Oryctolagus cuniculus: one gene and its partners. The main gene of each other region encodes a partner of the protein of the gene in region 2 in a complex. Links are inferred from orthologs where the notes say so. Each region holds a gene or a part of one and is shown on either strand. Other genes may lie near its edges. The genes, in order: AKAP10, PDZK1 and SLC15A2.

Region 1 (3,508 bases), on a different chromosome or scaffold from region 2:
AATCTCCTATCAAGAGACTCAGTCACAAAAGATGCTGTAGTTTCGTGCTTTTTAGATGGAGAGACAGGCTCAGCCAGTGAGCTCTGTTTTACTGTGTTCAGACTGTGTGCTCTTATTCGGGACCAAGTCGTTGAGTGGAAACTTTCGGCCTCCAACCAAAATTTAACCAGATGCTCCATTCTCCGAAGTTCCATGAACTGAATGAAATATGGGAGGACAACAGAATCGTGCAAGACTTGTTCAAGGGTCTTTGAAAGACTTGATTTGGTCTCCTGAGTCTGGTAGTCCAGACAAGATCTGCCTAAAAGTCAGAAACAAAGGAATTAGCAGTTCAGTACAAACAATTTTAGGCAACAGATGAATCTATCACTTTTAGCAACAGTGGTACCAGAGGTCTTGAATAAAATTTACTTCCTGGGGCCAGCACTGTGGCACAACAGGTTAAGCCACTGCTTGTGATGCCAGCATCATCTTGGAGCACCAGTTCAAGTCCTGGCTGCTCTGCTCCCAGTGCAGCTCCCTGGTAATGGCCTGGGAAGCCAGTGGGAGATGGCCCAAGTGCCTGGGCCCCTGTACCCAGGTAGGAGACCTGGATGGAATTCCTGGTTCCTGGCTTGCACTTGTCACAAACCCAGCTGTTGCAGGCATTTAGGGAGTGAACTACTGCAAAGACAGAGTGAGTGAGTGTGTGTGTGTGTATGTGTGTGTCTCCCTCTCTCTGTCACTCTGCCTTTCAAATATATAAATTAAAAAAATTAGAAGAAAAAAATGGCTGGCATTATTAAGCCACCAGTTGTGATGCTGGCATCTAATATCAGAGCACCAGATCTAGTCCCAGCTGCTCCATTTCTAATCCAACACCCTGATAATATGCCTGGGAAGCGGTGGAAGATGGCCCACATACCTGGGTTCCTCTCACACATGTGGGAACCAAATGGAGTTAAGGAGTGAACCAGATCTCCACCTCTCCCCATGTTGTGTCACTCTTTCAAATGAATGAATGAGTGAGTGAATGACTAAATAAACAAATCTTAAAAAAGTCTACTTCCTAACAATTAAAATGAGTAAAGAACTAAAAAAAAATCAGTTTTAGTTTCTAAACAAAGTAAAGAAACAACTGTCCAAAACTTATTTAAATTATTGAAAAGTTCTATCACTCAATTAATCCTAGTATCTCTTTTAAGGCCATTCAGATTATGTAAATTCTTCAGAAAGAAATGATACTAGTTCCAAAGAAAGAAAAAGGGCCAATAAAAATATGAAAAAATATTCAACCCCATTAAAAATCCCAGGGAAGCAAATTTAAAAAAGCTGACATTTTTTGCTTATAGAAAGGGAAAAATATTTATTTATTAGAGAGGTGGAGAGAGGACACCCATCTGCTGGTTTACTCTTCAAAAGTGTCTGTAACAGGCCAGCGCCGCGGCTCACTTGGCTAATCCTCCGTCCGCGGTGCCGGCACACCGGGTTCTAGTACTGGTTGGGGCACCGGATTCTGTCCCGGTTGCCCCTCTTCCAGTCCAGCTCTCTGCTGTGGCCCGGGAAGGCAGGTGCTTGGGCCCTGCACCTGCATGGGAGACCAGGAGGAAGCACCTGGCTCCCGGCCTTGGATCGGCACAGCACACCGGCCATAGCGGCCATTTGGTGGGTGAACCAACGGAAGAAGACCTTTCTCTCTGTTTCTCGTCTCTCTCTCACTAACTCTGCCTGTCAAAAAAAAAAAAAAAAAAAAAAGTGTCTGTAACAGCCAAGGGGTTGAAGCTAGGAGCCAGGAACTCAATGCAGGTGGCGGGAACCCAACTAATGGAGCCATCACCTCTTTCTCCCAGGATCTGCATTAGCAGGAAGCTAGAATCAGGAGCTAGAGCTGGGAATCGAACCCAGGGACCCCGATGTGGGATCTAGACAACATAACCAGCATCTTAACTGCTAGACCAAATGCCCCCCCCCATGGAAAAAAATTTAGTTAATAACAAATACTAACAAGGGAAATAGCAACACTCCTACACACTGATGACAACATACTGGCAAAATCTTTTTGGAGAAGCACTTAGGAAGAAACAGCAAAGCCTTGGCAAACTTTAAATATGTTAATGTGTCAAGGAGTAACTCATTATTTTAAATTGCATTTCCCTGAACACTAGCCAAATGAAATATCATTTTCATATATTTATATTAAACAGTTAAATATATTTATTTAGAAACTGTTCATTTTGCTACTGGACATGTTTTATGTATATACAGGAGAACATAGGGCCATCCATTATACTTGGTGCTGTGATTTTAGTTTAAACCCATTTTTTCAAAGCCCCTTCCAATTATATAGCTCACTCTCCTATGACAGCAGTTTCATGTACTGTACTCAAGATCTCCCTCCTATTAGAAATTAACACAGGTGGCAGGCAGCCTTGAGGGACAAGGTTAAGCTGCCACTTGTGATGCCTGCATCTCACATCGGAGTGCTGGTCTGAGTCCTGGCTACCGCATTTCAGAACTGGCTTCCTGCTAATGTGTCTGGGAAAGCAGCAGGAGATGGCCCAAGTGCCTGGGTCCCTGCACCCACATGGGAGACCTGGATGCAGTTCTTAGCTCCTGGCTCTGGTCTGGCCCAGCCCTGGCTACTGCAGCCCTTTGGAGAATAAACCAGCAGATAGAAGACATCTCTCTTTCTCTGTTTTTCCCCCTCTCACTGCAACACTGCTTTTCAAATGAATAAATATTTTGTTTTTTTAAAAAGCAAGTTAGCAAAAAGTTACTTACCCAGATCTCCAAAATGAGCAGCCTCCATGTGGCTTGGCTGCTTCTTGAGTGTTGCTGTCCTGCTACTGGAAAAGGAGTCCATGTTGGCAGAAATGGCATTGATGGCAACATGACTTGGTCCTGCAGCCTCCAGCAAGGCATGATTCTTAGTGCTTTTTTGTGGGGAATGTACGGATATTGAAGCTATAATTTTTCAAAAAATTGTTAAAAATTAAACACAATTAATGGTTCAAAACTCTTATAAGAGAACTTTAAAAACTATATTTTGTAATACTTCAAGTTGGTACACCCAACAAAAATTAAAAAAAGGTAACTTACACAACAGAAAATAGCTAAGAAACATTTCAGTATTATTTATAACTCTAAAAATATTGTGTCAGAAATGAAAATTAAACAGAACTTTGAGAATTGTTACTGAGAATGAAAGCACCAAAGCTAGGAAGTGTTCTGAAACAGACTTCTTCTAATGCCTTGGTCCTTGCTTGTTTCAGAAGCAAAACTAAAAATGCAGAATAAAGGCTTGGCTTGGTGGGACTAGAAAAATATTTTCACAATAATTATTTTTTAAATGAGTAATAAAATTATTCTAACAAAATACATTAATGGTTAAAGTTCAAGCCACTTAAGGTAATGTACTCTCACAATAAATATTTTCTTTTGTAGTCTGAAGAAGTAATATTGTCCTTCAGGCTTCAGAATAAAGTTAACTACCAATGTGTTGGAGATAACTCAATATTACAATACTATC
Region 2 (4,102 bases):
GGTTAAAAAGCACTGATCTAGGCCCAGACTGCTTATGTCCAAATGCTGGGCCTAAAAACAGTTATGGGACCTGGGTGAGTTTCTCGGGCTCCTGGGCCAGGTACAATGCCCAGCGCTTAATAGGCGGACACATTTGGCCAGTGCTTTGTGAGCACCCATGGCAGGTTAGGCATGGCAGGGCAGAGGGAGATCACTAGAACAGTCTTCAGCTGCTGTCATGGACAGATACAGTCTCTAGAGTCGGAACAGCAGCCTTGACACCAGGTACCCCTGGGCAGATGTAGTGCCCTCTCCAAAAACGAGTTTGCTGATCTATAAAATGGTGATAGTGTTGTCCTCCTGGGATGATTGTGGGGGTTACGAGAGGTCACCTAGGTAACAGAGTGGCACACAGCCAGAGCTCAAAAACAAAATAAAGTTAGCCATGATTATTATTATTATTATTATTATTTAGAATTTATTATTTGAAAGGTGGAGTTACAAATAGTGAGAGGAAGAGACAGAGAGAGAGGTCTTCCATCCACTGGTTCACTCCCCAAATGGCTGCAGTGGCTGGTGCTGGGCAGATCCGAAGCCAGGAACCAGGAGCTTCTTCTGGGTCTCCCACAAGGGTGCAGGGGCCCAAGCACTAGGACCATCTTCTACTGCTTTCCTAGACCATATCAGAGAACTGCTCCAAGAGGAGCAGCCGAGACTCGAACCGGCGCCCATATGGGATGGAGGCATTACAGGCCGGAGATTAACCTACTGCGTCGGCCCAGCCTGATGATTTATAGGGGTTCTTCACATTGAAAGGAATATACAAGGTCCCAGGTACATCCACATACACGACTGTGTTTAGTTCTTAGAAAGCACTGAGCTGTTATTTAATTTATCCTGTGTACTAAGCATACAGAGGCTAGGAGAGATCTTGTGACTTCACAAAAATCACACTTGCTCCGCGCAGGAGCTAGGATGCTAAGCCAGGTTAGGAGAGTCTTGATCTTGGAGTCTGGTGTCTGTCCTCGCCCAGAGCTGCCACCCAGGAGAGCTGTAGTAGCAGCAATCAGGTCAGAAGCATAATCCTCAGGACTAGGAGAGGGGAAATTCTGAATGAGGCGTGCGGGAACGGGATTCGGTGGGTGACGCAAGGCGGGGAGTGGGGCATTTGGCTTCCAGGACTGGCTTGGCACCGGGAAGGCGCTGAGAAGGTCATGTCCCTTCTCTGGGCGAGCTTCCTGAGGGCTTGGTGCAGCGGGATGGGGGTGGGGGTGACGCGGGGTAGGGACTGCTTCCAAGAGCGCACGCGGGAGCCGGCTCGGCTCGCAGGCTCGGATGCGGCGAGACACTCAGCGGCGTGGCCCGGCCTCGCGGTACCTAAGGCCGAGGGAGAGCGGAGCGTGTAAGCCGTCGTGGGCCCTTCTTCGGGGCTGGGGGCAGCCGGGGGCAATGGGGCCAGGGTGCGCTTCCAAGAAGTGACCTTGGCGCCCCGCAGCGGTAGCACGCCTCGGTAGTGCGGGCCGGGCCCCGCGGCTTCTGCACTCTGACCGCTAGAGGGCGCTGCCTTCCAGCCGCAGCCGACGCGACCTTGCACCTGCGCCCGCGCGGGTCAGCGGCCAGGAGCGCGGGGAGGGGGTGTGTGTGAGCAAGGTGGGTCCCGGGGATGCAGCCAGAGGGAACTGGCTTTCTGAAGTGGGGCGGGGAGGGGGCCAAGGAGTCTGGGAACTTGCTGAGCTCCCTGCGTCCTAGAAGGTGGCGATGCCTGGAGCGGGAAGGAGGGTGCCGATCAACTTGGCATCCTCACCCCTGAGTCTTCCTTGGGGCCCCTGAACTGCTTTGGATGAGGGAGAGAGGGGTTGAAGGGGCTATGGGCTCTCAGAACCGTGAGGCAGCTGGGCAGGAGATTGCAGAGGACAGCACACTGCCCCCTCCCCCAGCCCTTTGCGTACTGGTCCTGGAGTCTTCACGTGATCTAGGACGGGTTACTTTACCAGGCTCAGCTTGTGTTTGAAGCTCCCTGGCAGGACTTCCGAGGTGGTTAAAAGTTAGAGGTTTGCCCAAGGTTTTGTGCAGAGTGTGGACTGTCTGATGCGACAAGATAGTGAGAAAGCAGCTTATTCCCCCTGGAACCAAAGCCTGGATCTAGCCTCTCAGAGGAGCCGGGGGTCAGCTTTGAGTTCCACGGACACCTCCCGGAGTCCGCATCTCATTTGCAGCTGTGAAGGGACTTCCCACCCTGCCACCCTCCATAACCCAAGTAGAACCAGGCTTGTGAGCAAACAGAGCTTCTGCCCTGACCCCTCTCAACACAGCAGAGTGGGGCTTCTTGGCTGGGGTCCCTCTGGTGGTCTGTTGAAGTCCGTGGAGCCCCCCTCTCAGAATAACATTTGAAAATTCATGAAATAAAATACAGAGGATAACAAAGAAAGCAAATCGTCTTAAGACGTTAGAAGCACGAGTGACCCAGGAGATCCATGCTTCTTAAGACCCAGTGCTGGCCCAGTTACTCCAGTAATTTCATAGGAGTCATGAGCATGAATGATGCTTGGCGAACTCGGCATGAACTCTAATGAGATTGGAAAATACCTGCGATTTCTATCAACGGCAAATTCTACTGTGATTTATTGCCTACATTCATAATAGAAGCAACTGCTACCTTTCACGTAGAGACAGGTGAAAATACAGATGTATTTTTCCTCCCAAACTCACAGAGCCCAGGAATGAATGTATTTATGGTTAAGGATGAATGAATGAGTCATTCTCAGTTAAGAACTGCTGCGGTCCAGGCTCCACGGGTGGCACAGGGCGGGGGTGGGGGAGAGGGAATGAGGCAACCATGCCTCCTGATTCTTCGGAGGAGGTCTTTGGAACTTGAGGGAAATTATCTCTAAGCCGTTTTTTTTTCCCCCAGCCCAGAATGTCTGGGTTTACTCTGCTACACACACTCCAGTGGCTGGGAGCCTGCCTTGCTGTATCTATCCCCAGGGCACACAATCTTAGGTCCCCCTCAGGGCCACCTCCAAGCTCCACGGAGCCTTGAGGGTGGGACTGTCCCAGCCCAGGTCTGGAGGGTTGATCTGGTAGAGGGTTGATCTGAATCTTGGAATCTTGGTAACTTTCCCCCCTGGAGTTCTTTCTCCTTCATCTCCTCTGTAGTAACAAAAAGATGACCCCTTGACATTCACCTGCCCCTCCCCAGCGCCTAGCAGAACAAAGTGCCTGGAGGAGTGGGAAGACTCCTCCACGCGCTCCCTCAGCCGCTCACCATTCAAGGAACCTCAGGATGGGCCAGAGAGTCCACAAAGAACATGGCACCGGCCACCCTCACAGGCAGCCCTGGTCCCCCCGGACTCCGGAGGGCAGGGAACTTTCCCCTTCAAGAAGCAGCTTTCCCGGGGACCTCCCTGAAGCCACCCCGCGGCTCCGACCCCGGGTCCCCGCCAGGCCTCTTTACCTCGGAACAGAAGTCTTCTTCCCTCTCTCCGCCTCCGGGCTCAGGCTGAAGGAGCTCTCAGCCCTCAAATTACTCTTTGGTCTTTTAAGCCCCATCTCCCCACTTCCGTCATCGCTGGCCTTCATCACTGTCACCGCCAGTCTTTGAAAACCACAGACCGGGTTTTAGCAGTCAGGGGTCTTCCTGCCTCTCTTTCCCCCACCCCCACTGAGGACTCACCTCCTCTCTCCCCTCCACCTCAGCCTCCAGTTCCTCCCCTCCTCCTCCATCCCCCCTCCTTTTTATTATTTTTAAGATTTATTTTTATTTATTTGAAAGAGTTACAGAGAGAAACAGAAAGACAGCAAGGTCTTCCACCCGCTTGTTCACTCCCCCATAGCCAGGAGCTTCATTTGGGTCTCCCATGTGGGTGCAGGGGCCCAAGCACTTAGGCCATCTTCCACTGCTTTCCCAGGTACATTATCAGGGAGTTGGATCAGAAATGGAGCAGCTGGGACTCGACCCTGCGCCCATATAGCAAGCAGGTGGAGGCTCAACCTGTTGTGCCACAGTGCCGGCCCCTCTTTTTTATTTTTGCATTAGAAATAGACTAAGATCCCGAGAGGGCTGAGAAAAAACACCCTTGAAATTATCTTCTGTACCTTGAGGCGTGGAGCTTGGTCACTTGAT
Region 3 (4,291 bases), on a different chromosome or scaffold from region 2:
GAGTGAAATAGCAGAGGCTGCTGAAGGCATGGTAGACAGATGTGGAGGTGTCCTCATTCCAGTGCAGGAAATACAGGAAATACAGGGTAAGCACAGCTACGGTGCAAAAAAAGGAGACAAAACAAGATCAATATGTTACAGTGACATGGAGAAGTATATTCGACCTCTGGTCTTTAAAGTTGCTCCTGGCTTTTGGCACTTCCATCAGTGAAGTAACAAAGGGGTGACTGCCACCAGGCAGTAGCAGCAGGGCCATGAGAGTCGTGGGAGTCGACAGGGTTATACTGACTATACACATAAAATACTCCCCCTTCAGTCTATGTGCACTCATAATGGCATTGAGGACAATTACAAAGACAACATGGTGATTCTGAGATTCTCTTTTTCCTCTTTCCCAAGCGACAATATGATTTTTAGACCTGACAAACAAGTGTCAGGAATGGAATTGTGATGATGAGAGCTTTCCCGCCTAGGTTCTCACAGGCTGTGTCCTGCTTTCTGTCAGGTCTTTCAAATCTTGGCTTGCATGAGCTATTATATAAAATCCTATGAAGCATTTGCTGAAGATTTTGGCTGAAGGAAAGGACCAATTTGGACCAAGGCAGAAAAAGTAGTTAAGGGAAATAAGTGTACACAAGGAGAGCGGGGAGTTAAAAACATGGGGTGAGTAGGACCCTGGACATCAAATTACCTTTCATGCCATAATAGGAAAAACGCTCGCAGAATTCATTCACCACAATGAAGGCAATGCTCAGTGGATAGTTGGAGCCACAGATTTTCTGTGCAACAGAAAGGCAATGGTTCAAGCATGAGCTATTTTTGTCTACTTTAAACACTAGATTGCTCCACAACTGAGATTCATTTATTTAAGTGGCTATAATGGGTGATATGGAGCAATGGTCTCTACCCTTCATGAAACATCTATTATCACATTAAAAGTACTCATATTTCTAATTTAAGAGTAACAGAAACTAATGGGATGCTATCTTGTTCCTTATTTATTTAATATGCTACTGCTCATACATTTCTTGTTCTAGGACCTGCTGATTTCCCACAATTGTTAAATGACTGGGTCTCTGGGCTAAAGAATAATCATATTTATTTCTAGCAACAGAATGAAGAGGTGGCCTATGAAGTGAGTACCTGAAATCCAGATAGTATCCTGCTTAGTGCTACTTTGGGGATTTACCCCTCTTGTCTGCATCTGGTTCATTTGCCCTACTGGGAGAAACCCTGGAATTAGGCTGGTTTCCCCCTCAGAGGCTGCTGGAGCCAGACACAGGGCTCAATATGGAAGGCAGAGATTTCTAAAGGTAAGCTGACTGATTACTTAGACTTTGGTCAAAGTGCTTAGGTCCCCTAAAATTAAATGCCCACTATTCCTACTAAGGATATTCTATAAAATTTTCATGATATTCTTACTGGACATTAAAGGGATTATGTTATATCATGCACTATACCAATCAAGACATAAGAAATGTCATGTTTTATTTCAACCTCTACCTTTATAATAAGTCACATGAGATGCAGGTGGAGATATCTGTTCTTGAAACAGTCAAATCTTATCATAAGATTTATATTGCCTCTTATTTCATAGGAGGTATACACATCTTTGTTAACAGATTTCAATACTTTGGAACCAGAAGTGATATAACTAATTTTAAAAATATTTATAAAAAATTAGCACTTTCATTCTTTTACCCATATATATAGACATTCATTAACAATCCTCCAAATTTATGAAAGTATGTTAATGCACCACAAAGAACTGGGCATCCTATCTTCCCAGCTCAGAGTTGGAGAATCCTGCAACTAAGAGTTTGGTTAATGTACTTCACTATCTGTAACACAGTTGCTGGCTGTGTTAACATACTGACACACTAGCCATATCGCTACATCTGTCTCTATGCCTTAGCTCTGTTACTCCAAAGAAATGAGAATAATACTACCTCTTGGCCTACAGTAAGGATTCAGTAAATCCTGGATATTATTACTATATCCTCTCCAATTACAGGATTTTGGCATGAGGATAAATGAAATAATAAATTTGGAAGTGTTTTAACAAGCATGCAATACAAAACATTACAGCTTCTTTGTCTTACCTCCCACTGTAAACTGGGAACACACAGTAACAGAGATGGGCTCTCATCTAAAACTTCTGTTGGTGTCCAGCAGAAGGCTCTGTACACCGGGGGAACTAAGGGCTGAGTTTTTGTATTGGTAAAGAAGGAACAATCACACACAGTTCTCTAGACAGGAATGCTTGCCAAGTTTCCCTGGACATTCAAATTGCCTTTTTCCCTCCTAGAGAAACTCCAAAAATGCAATGAAATACAGCAGAGCTCTGGATCCCAGTAGAACTCTGACTCCCTCTTCTTGCTGTTTCCTTTTCTAAGTAAAGGAAGCTTCGACTTAGATTTTGTTTGCAGGTGAATTCTGACTCCAAGAGAGAATAGTTCTAATAATCTAGCACAGCTCAGCCTGAAGCTTCAGAGGCCATGGACAGAAGCCAAAAGAAGACAGCTACTGCTGCCAGAGGCCGAACTGAATTTGGAGACTTACCGGAGGTGTCTTCTTTGCCGGGCTGGAGAGTCGAGGTGGTGTCTCTTCAGTGGAGACAGGTGAAAAAAGAGTTTCCTTGGACTCATTTTGCTGGAAGGGATTCATGGCTGGCTTCTTTCTCTCTCCTCAAGCATTTGGCTTCAGTAGGCAGTTAGGACAGCTGCCAGACTACAGTGAAAAGGGGTACTGGGTGTGTGGGGGGGGGGGGGAGAAGGGGTGGTTTCAGCAACTAGGTTTAACCCTGTGGGTGTCAGTTTCAGTAACTGCCTGATTGAGAGCAAAGCAGGAAGCTATAGGAAAAGAAAGGGCTGGTGTTCTAGTTTAAAAGAACGATTGTATAAAAGGTAAACATGGGGAAAGGAAAACACCTTACAAGTCACAAGAGTGATGAGCCAATGCTAGAAAATTGTCAAGGAAATGTACATTTCAGAAAGATTACCTTTGCAAATACCTACAAGATAGCTCAGAAAAGAGTGCCTGAGCACAGATCAAAACACTGATATGAGGGTACCGGTAGCTGCTTTATTGAGCACCTATTATGTGCAAGGTTAATATAAATATATGTGAAGTACATATGTAATATGTATATATAACATAAGTATTTGTTCTATTTCTTACTACTATCCTTGTTTTATAGAAACTAATGTTCGAAGAAATTAAGAAATTTTTCCAATGTAACATTGTCAGTAAGTGATAAATGTGGAATTTTTATTATGCTATGATAGGAAGGGTAGAGATTGCTATCTGTGAAACTTTGGCCATTATTCAGGTATGGAAGCTATGTAAATGGAAGTAGGAATGTAGGTGAATTGAAATGCATTAAAGAGGAAAGGTCATCACAAAATTGAACTTGAGGTAAAAGGAGTTGGTTGTAGTTACTGATATTGTAAAGGTCAGCTAAAAATATCATTTAAGCAATTTAAAAAGTGGGGGTCCAGAAAATGAGAGGAAAAGATTGGTAATGTACATTTGGGAATCATTTTTCTTTGCTAAAGTCAGTTTTCATTTTCTCATTTCAAGATGAAACCCCCTTTCATTAAAGAAATAAAATTTAATTTGTGCAAAAATTATGTTCTAGGTACTGTCTGTAAAAACAGTTATGTTCTAGGTACCAGTGCAAACATTACTTTTCTTAATTCTCAGTGGATGGACTCTCTAACTACTCTAGAATATTATATTTAGACATTATCAGAGAAGAAACGAGAACAAAGATGATGACAATAGATGCATTTTATACCATGCTATTTTTGCTATGTCAAGGAGGGAAAGAACAAGAGCATGGTGTCCCTCTAGTTGTCAGTCAAAAGAAAAGAGAAAACAATGGTTAAGAGTTATGCAAAGGCATAACCACAAGGAAGTCTGGCAATTCCAGAATAAACTGCTTTGAGAATATGAGAGAGAAAACCTATGATTCTATTTCTTGCAAAATAGAATTCTTACATTACCTACTTGAATAATTCATTGACAAATAAGGTCTTTTCCTCCCTAAACTTTAACTCAGACTTTGACCACATCTTCTCCGCTTCTATTACACCCTTCATTTCCTCTCTCTCCCACCAACCTGTACCCAAAGGAGGGTCCAGCTTCATTTCTGAATGTGGTATTAATGAATAACCATAGTTATTCTTTTTGTTAATCACTCTGTATGTAAAACAAATGAGCAGTCAGAAATAACTAGTTAAGGGGCCAGCGCTGTGGTGCAATGGGTTAAAGCCCTGGCTTACAGTGC

The links.
Region 1: the proteins of PDZK1 (region 2) and AKAP10 are in contact, whole or in part, in a crystal structure (PDB 3TMH), measured with the Homo sapiens proteins. The link is inferred for Oryctolagus cuniculus from reciprocal best matches to the Homo sapiens genes PDZK1 and AKAP10. Residues at the interface, in NP_001188254.1 of Homo sapiens: Asn386, Gly387, Tyr388, Gly389, Phe390, His391, Leu392, Asn393, Ala394, Ile395, Arg396, Phe402, Lys404, Tyr436, Glu437, Val440, Ile443, Gln444; in NP_009133.2 of Homo sapiens: Pro655, Leu656, Glu657, Lys658, Ser659, Thr660, Lys661, Leu662.
Region 3: the proteins of PDZK1 (region 2) and SLC15A2 are in contact, whole or in part, in a crystal structure (PDB 6EZI), measured with the Homo sapiens proteins. The link is inferred for Oryctolagus cuniculus from reciprocal best matches to the Homo sapiens genes PDZK1 and SLC15A2. Residues at the interface, in NP_001188254.1 of Homo sapiens: Asn386, Gly387, Tyr388, Gly389, Phe390, His391, Leu392, Asn393, Ala394, Ile395, Arg396, Gln407, Tyr436, Glu437, Val440, Ile443, Gln444; in NP_066568.3 of Homo sapiens: Glu723, Thr724, Lys725, Lys726, Thr727, Lys728, Leu729.

Annotation. Positions count from the first base shown.
Region 1 is NC_091448.1:60,475,092-60,478,599, reverse strand, and holds part of AKAP10 (A-kinase anchor protein 10, mitochondrial), read right to left. Parts: intron 2,944-3,508; coding exon 2,761-2,943; intron 302-2,760; coding exon 1-301. UniProt on the Homo sapiens protein: Differentially targeted protein that binds to type I and II regulatory subunits of protein kinase A and anchors them to the mitochondria or the plasma membrane.
Region 2 is NC_091438.1:49,176,970-49,181,071, forward strand, and holds the start of PDZK1 (Na(+)/H(+) exchange regulatory cofactor NHE-RF3), read left to right. Parts: upstream 1-1,294; 5' UTR 1,295-1,381; intron 1,382-4,102. UniProt on the Homo sapiens protein: A scaffold protein that connects plasma membrane proteins and regulatory components, regulating their surface expression in epithelial cells apical domains.
Region 3 is NC_091435.1:78,166,439-78,170,729, reverse strand, and holds the start of SLC15A2 (solute carrier family 15 member 2), read right to left. Parts: upstream 2,808-4,291; 5' UTR 2,668-2,807; coding exon 2,563-2,667; exon of another isoform or gene 2,083-2,562; intron 780-2,082; coding exon 692-779; intron 97-691; coding exon 1-96. UniProt on the Homo sapiens protein: Proton-coupled amino-acid transporter that transports oligopeptides of 2 to 4 amino acids with a preference for dipeptides. Transports neutral and anionic dipeptides with a proton to peptide stoichiometry of 2:1 or 3:1.